Cricetulus griseus: one gene and its partner. The protein of the gene in region 1 purifies or fractionates together with the protein of each later gene. This does not show direct contact. Links are inferred from orthologs where the notes say so. Each region holds a gene or a part of one and is shown on either strand. Other genes may lie near its edges. The genes, in order: Vcam1 and Msn.

Region 1 (3,824 bases):
GTTTAGGTCCCTCCCCCTAAGTATTACTTTTATGTTGATAATTATTCTGATGTCATTTTTGTTAATTTACATAGGATGTATTATGTATGTTATTAGATGAGAGAAAAGTTACTCAGATTCTAAATAATACAGTTAGGGCAGTTCTTTTTCTTATTGATGGTTAGAGTTAGCATATAAACAAGTGTGTTCATAATGGCATCATCATATGTCTGTGTCATGATGTTTTCTTCTCTTTTGTTTCCCTTCCCCATTGCTCTCCATGCCTGTCTCTTTGAAAACTGCTTCCCTTCCTTCCCCTGACAATATCGCCTTCTCCTTTCCTATTGGTATGTTCTACTTCCCCATCCCTTAGGATGGCTTCCTTTCCTCTTTTTAGTTCTATGACCTACAAGGACATACATATCAATGCATGCATGTATATAATTTAAAAATTCAACTTGGGTTTCACATATCTGAGAGAACGTATAGTATTAAGTCAGTTCTTTTCCCTCCTCTCCTCCTCCTCCTCCTCCTCCTCCTCCTCCTCCTCCTCCTCCTCCTCTTCTTCTTCTTCTTCTTCTTCTTCTTCTTTTTCAGATAGGTTTTCTCTGTGTAACTTTGGGTGTCCTCGAACTCACTCTGTAGATCAGACTGGCCTGGAACTTAGAGATCAGTAGACACCTGCCTCTGTCTCCCAAGTGCTGGCATTAAAGGTGTGAGCCTCCATGCCCAGATATCAGTTTTATTTTTGATTTCAAGAATTACCTGATTGGAGACAAAGATAGGCAGCTCCCTGTGAGTTTGAGGCCAGCCTAATCTACATAGAGACTCCCAGGTACTGTCTCAAAAACAAACAAACAAAAAAATAAAGGAAAGAAAGAAGAAAGGAAGAAAGAAAGAAAGAAAGAAAGAAAGAAAGAAAGAAAGGAAAAAATTCTGAACAGTATTTAAAACTCATAACCTAAATTTAGTCGTAAAATAAACTATCTAAATTTTGATAATAATGTCTAAATTGAGAACTGCACTGTGAATCTCATTTGATACTGAAAAATTGTGTAGCCAAGATTCACAGGTCAAGGGACAGATTTTGACTAGGTATGATATATTATGAAAAATCGTTTTTGTTCCTGTAAGTTTCTTTTTCTAGCTATAAAGTAAGTTACATAATAACCATTTTATCAGATTGTCCAGAAAGGAGATAATGAAAGATGGGGGATTAGTTTATATTTAGTAGTCAGCATATTGTGACAAATATTTAAAACATTTAAATTATATGGCTAATTAAAAGGATGGCAGAAGTCATTGTGCCCTTAGAAAAGAACAGGCAAGATGGCATCATTAGAAGAGAAAAATCAGGAGTGAAAACATTACTCATTGACTTAAAATACTATTTTGTTTATATTATTTATAATTAATATTGTAAATGTGTCATTATAGTTGATGGTATTATTTATGTCCATACTATTCCCAGCTGATCAAAAGCTGTCACTCTGAGAACTTGGCATTTAATAGAGTCTGACTCAATTTTCCCTTGATTATCACATATCACCATTATTTTTACTTGATATCTGCAGCATTCCCCAAAGACCCAGAAATTGAAATGAGCGGTCTACTTGTGCATGGGAGACCTGTCATTGTAAACTGCACAGTCCCTGACGTGTACCCTTTTAACCATCTGGAGATTGAATTGTTGAAGGGGGAGACTACATTGATGAATAAAAGTTTTGGGGAGGAAATGAGCATAAAATCCCTGGAGACTAAAAGTTTGGAAATGACCTTCATTCCTACCACCGAAGATACTGGAAAAGATCTTGTTTGCCGGGCTAAGTTACACAGTGGTGAATTGGAATCTGAACCCAAACAAAGGCAGAGTACACAGACTCTTTATGTCAACGGTAAGTACATATGTGGGGCAGCTACCAATGAATATGGATTTCTTTATTAAGTCCACTAGGTAATAGCTAACAGAAGGTTAACAATTAAAACCTCTATGAAGAAAACTGAAAAGGAAATTCAGGATAACAGTAATTATAATAAACTATTTTCTATAATATAAAACAAACCATTTATTTATGCAGGGGTCTATGCATTAGCATTCAGGAATGGGCCAGCCAGGCAGCTAGCTACTCAGCCTCAGATAGAATCAGTAGAGCTCAGGCAGCCACCTTCAGCTAGGCTGGCAGCTGGCTTGCCACAGGTAGCTTCACTTAAGTGTCTGAGCCTTATGTGCTCGGTCATTTCTCAGCGTGGCATCATCTCTAGGAAGGGGGTCTAGATTTACTCTTCAGAACACAGCTAAGAAAGGTGGTGATAAAAGCCTACGTCAGAAGCCCTGCCTCCACCCCACACCGCCATGTCACTTAACCCACATCATATTGGCCAAATCACCAACCCAGGTTCAAGGTGTAGTAAATAGGTTTTTCTTATTCACAGGGAATCTTCCAATGCATCATGCTTTGACAATACACACCATTGACCTTTCAGTTTCCAATGCTCTCTACTCCTTTCTCCCTAAGAAACAGCGTCACTTTTATCTTACTCTGGCTCTTCTCACAGGGTCACACAGAGCCTTCTCATCCACCATGTCCCACAGAGACTACACTGTACCTGATTTTCTATGCTTTGACATGGAAAGCATTTCTCCAGACTTTTCTGCCATTGGAAAATATCCACCCTTCATCTGAGTTCTAACTCTCATTGTGTCTCCTCCACAGAAACTTCCTGGGCTGGTTGTCACAGTTTGTAAACTACACTAACCCATTCCAATGCCTAGTGTTACAGCATTGTCCAGACTCCATGGAATTCAGGACATAAAAGGCTTCAGCTAAGTGTCTTTTCCTTTTCAGATGCCCCCAGGGAAATCACCATCTGGGTCAGCCCCTCTCCCATCGTAGAAGAGGGCAGTCCTGTGAACCTGACCTGCTCAAGCGATGGTTTTCCAACTCTAAAAATCCTGTGGAGCAGACAGCTAAGTAATGAGGAACTGCAGCCTCTTTCCGAAGATACAACGCTCACCTTAATGTCTGCAAAACCAGAAGATTCTGGCATTTATGTGTGTGAAGGGATTAGCCAGATGGGAACTAGCAAAAAATCAGTTGAACTGGTTATCCAAGGTGAGCAGAGTATGACTTTTAAGTTATTCATGGCTAGTGCGTTTCCTATTGAGTTACTGATAGTGAACAAGGTTATCTTTGAAAAGAAGGCCTTTCGGGGTTGAGAGATAGCTTAGCAACAAGGAGTGCCCACTGCTCTTACAAATGACCCAGGTTCTGTTCCCAGCACTCACTGCCTGTACCCTCAGTGCCAGGAGATCGCATGCCCTCTCCTTGCTTCCATGGACACTGCACTCACACGCAGGTACATACAAATATGTATAACTTAAAATAAATCTTAGAAAGAAAAGAAAAACCATTACTTTAAAATTATATTTATGTGCAACAAACAAACAAAAGCAGCAGATAACAACAACAACAAAATACGTTAAAAAACAGGTCCACAATGCTCCTGGAATGAATTCTCATTTAAGGCCAGATCACTTGTCTTAAAATCTTATTACCTCAAATGAAATGCTCACTCCAAAAACTGAGCTGGAAGTTCAGGAACACTGAAGAGATTGTGGTTTTAGTGAAAAGACAAGGGTAGGAAATTACTTCTGATTAAAACAATAACATTGGGCAAGTCCCAAGAAGCTGCCTAGGATTTGTTTAGAAGTCCAAGAGGGCTCCTTTTGTAAACTCTGAGATTAAGGATCACAGTCATTGTGCCCTCTGGCCTCCTAGGCTGCTGGCACAGAACCACTAGGGTGAATATAAATATAGGTCTCCCTTCTCAATGATAAAGACCCA
Region 2 (3,824 bases), on another chromosome or scaffold:
TTACAGAAATTCTGACACCTATGGTGTACCTACCTATTGACTAGAGTGTTTTCTATCCTATAGGAGGCCCTTTTGGATTCATTTGAGAACTCTAGTTAGACTTCAGGTAGTGAGACATGACATTGTCTACTCCCTTAAGAGTTAATCCAGGCCAGGCGTTGGTGGCACACGCCTTTAATCCCAGCACTCAGGAAGCAGAGGCAGGCGGATCTCTGTGAGTTTGAGGCCAGCCTAGTCTCCAGAGCAAGTGCCAGGATAGGCTCCTAAGCTACACAGAGAAACCCTGTCTCGAAAAAAAAAAAAAAAGAGTTAATCCAGTTGGGCTAGTCAATCACTAGGCCAAGGAAGTACCTCTCCTTGAAAAGTCATTCAACCTTAAGCTAAGGTAAAGAAGTAGGAATAATTATCTCTTTAATGAGACAGTGTGGTTTTCCTTCCCCGAGTTACTACCCCATAGTTTAGTCCCTGTTAGTTACCATGAGGTTCTTTTGGATGTGCTTATCTTACTAGCTCCTGATGCAAAGGGACATAACTCTTCCCTTCTCTTCTGTGGTTGTGTTTCAAATGCTGACCAGAACCTGCATATGCTTTCTCTGGTGCCTTGGACTTTTTCACACTTTGTGTAAAGATCTCCTTGCAATATGGCTACTTTACCACCATGTGGCTGACTTCCATATTGGCTTAACTCAAGGCCCTCTTAAGCTCCTGTGAATTAATAATAAACTTATTTTGAAAACTGAAAAAAAAATACCATAGCAGAAGAAGACACTTCTGATAAAGTATTTTAGGGTGCTATTTTATTTTTAAAGATTTTCAATTTCCCATGTTTATTTTGTGTGGAGGAGGTGAAAGGATACACACTCCATGATGCCCATGTGGAGACCAGAGGACAACTTGTTAGAATTTGTTTTCTTTCTCAATGTTGTTTTTGGGTATCAAACTCTTATTGTCAGGCTTGGTGGCAGGCACCTTTAGTTTGTGAGCCATCTTGCTGGTCCCAGGCTGCTTTTCATGATCAGAGTTGGTAAAAATGGTGATTTTGGTGGAAAGAGTACTTGATGTCAAAGATAAGAAACATGGGTTCTAGCCTTAAGTCTACTACTTCCCTGACAACTGACTCTAGGAAAAATGATTTTCTTACTCTGGTAATTAGGATTCCCACTGCAATGCAAATGATTGGATTACACAGTCTTTCCAGTACTTTTGGGTTTAGCTTAACAGAAGCCAGTCACTTTCACCTTTTTCTCAAGACTTTAAAAAATGTATCAGTTTATTATTCTATTACTGGTGTGTATGTGCATGCATGTGTGTGCTCCAGGGCGTATGTGAGCCATTTTGTCAGCCCTAAAAACTCAATGCTATTTTCCCTCCAGGACTTTGTGTTCTATGCTCCCCGGCTTCGGATTAACAAGAGGATCTTGGCCTTGTGCATGGGGAATCATGAGCTGTACATGCGTCGGCGTAAGCCTGACACCATTGAGGTTCAGCAGATGAAGGCACAGGCTCGGGAGGAGAAGCACCAGAAGCAGATGGAGCGGTAGGTGCCATAGTGTTGAACTTAGTAGTCCTAACTCTACTGCTGTGGTAAGGAAGTTTCTAAAAGCTTCCTAGACGGCTTAGGGTGTGGTATCAGCCCAGAACCAGGACTTGTGAACTGTGGAGGGGAGGAAACTCCTTAAATTCAGTGTCAGCACAGACATTTTTGTTTCTTAGAAACAGGCACCAAAAGTCTGGGATTTCAGAGGCTTCTAGAGGGAGGAACCTCTTCCAGTACTCTCCTATCCCCACCGGCCCATAGTCTACCTGAGAAATCTATTCTATTTCCCCTTCCCAAGGAGATCCAAGTGTCCTCTCCTTGAGCCCTCCTTGTTACTTAGCTTCTCTGGGTTTGTGGATTGTAGAATGATTGTCTTTTACTTTATAGCTAGTGTCCACTTATAAATGAGTGCACATCATGTTTGTTTTTCTGGGTCTGAGTTACCTCACTCAGGATGGGTTTTTCTAGTTCCATCCATTTGCCTGCAAATTTCATGATGTCATTGTTTTTAACAACTGAGTAATACTCCATTGTGAAAATATACTGCTGCATTTTCTTTATCCATTCTTTGGTGAGGGACATTTAGGGTGTTTCTAGTTTCTGGCTATTATGAATAATGCTGCTATGAACATGGTTGTGCAAGAATCCTTGTGGTATGGTGGATTGTCCTTTGGGTATGTGCCCAAGATACCAAGATATATCTGGGTCTTGAGGAAGATTAATTCCCAATTTTCCGGGAAATCACTATGTTGATTTTCAAAATGTCTGCACCAGTTTTCACTCCCACAAAGGTGCTGTAAGTTCAAGGCCAGCCAGGAATAAATAGTAAGAACCTGTTTTAAATAATGAAAATGGAAATAAAAATGAGCATGTATTTTTTTTCACAATGAACCTGGTTCTAATACATATAGATATATATTCATGTGTCAACATTAATTATATACGTGTATGTATATACATATGTTTGTGTGTGTGGCTTGTGTGTGCGTGTGTGTGCGTGTGTGTGTGTGTGTGTGTGTGTGTGTGTGTGTGTGTGTGTATACATATACATGCATGAGTTTGTGGGTACTTGGGTGCATGCGCACCACCCACAACTAAGGTTGACTTTTCCCCCAATACTGGTGTTTGGACTCAAAGCCCTGTGAATGTCAGGCAAGTACTCTATCATTGACCTATGATGACAGCCCAGAGTTCTCATTATTAAGAAGAAGAAAAAATACCAAGATTTGGATACAGTTTACTGAACTAGAACATACTCTGCAGGACCTCACAGTCTAGTAACACAGAGAATGAAGGAAATACATACATGTATGTGCTCACACTGTCTTACTTACATAGTCTTGAGATACAAAAGCTATATTATTAATTCCCTTAAATATTTATTGAGCAGTAAAAATTTCCTCATCTTATGAAGCTGTCATTCTAGTAGGAGAAGTTTTTAAAGATAGGGTTTCTCTGTGTAACAGCACCGACTGTCCTGGAACTCACTCTGTAGACCAGGCCGGCCTCGAATTCACAGAGATCCACCTGCCTCTGCCTGTGGAGTGCTGGGATTAAAGGTGTGCACCACCACCATCCATCATTCTAATAGAAGACAGATAAAATAAACAAATTGTTTAGCATATGCAATAGTGAAAAGTGCTATGAAAAAGTGTGTGCCAAGCATTCTGAAGGTCTGAGCGTGAGGACATGTAGCCAAGGTCTAAGAATGCTTCTTACGGGTTGGAGAGATGTTGGCTCAGCATTTAAGAATGCTTGCTGCTATTGCAGAAAACCCAGGTTCGGTTCCCAGCATCCACTTGGCAGCTTCCAACCATTTGTAACTCCACTTCCAGGGGATCTGGCACCTTCTAGATTCTGTGGGCACAGCATACATATTGTGCACTTATATATACAGGAAAAACACACATAAAATAAAAATAAAGTCTTTAAAACAAAAAATGATGCTTCCTTGAATAGGTAGTGAGGGCAGAAAAAGCAAATACTTATCCTAGATCGGCAACAAAGTCTGGAAAAAGGGAACCTAAAGCTGGGGTTGAAGGAAAGCAGAGTTAGGCCTAGTTGTCCAAGACAGAGTGCAAAGGTTAGTAAATAATTTTGCAGATAGAAGAAAGAGCAAAGCCATCTAGTTGGTTACTTGCAGTACCAGCATTCCTCTTTAGGTTTCAGGAATTTGAGGTAAATGGACTGAGCATAGAAATCTGTGGGGCAGTGATATGATGGTTAGATGGAGGAAATCGAGAATGGTCCTTGTTCACAACCTCTGCCTTACATTGGGAGGCTGGGG

Evidence for each region.
Region 2: the proteins of Vcam1 (region 1) and Msn purify together in Homo sapiens (affinity purification with western blotting; 3 studies listed by BioGRID, with this or other methods). This does not show direct contact. The link is inferred for Cricetulus griseus from reciprocal best matches to the Homo sapiens genes VCAM1 and MSN.

Annotation. Positions count from the first base shown.
Region 1 is NW_023276806.1:42,101,493-42,105,316, forward strand, and holds part of Vcam1 (vascular cell adhesion protein 1), read left to right. Parts: intron 1-1,553; coding exon 1,554-1,874; intron 1,875-2,825; coding exon 2,826-3,092; intron 3,093-3,824. UniProt on the Homo sapiens protein: Cell adhesion glycoprotein predominantly expressed on the surface of endothelial cells that plays an important role in immune surveillance and inflammation.
Region 2 is NC_048604.1:74,002,018-74,005,841, reverse strand, and holds part of Msn (moesin), read left to right. Parts: intron 1-1,373; coding exon 1,374-1,537; intron 1,538-3,824. UniProt on the Homo sapiens protein: Ezrin-radixin-moesin (ERM) family protein that connects the actin cytoskeleton to the plasma membrane and thereby regulates the structure and function of specific domains of the cell cortex.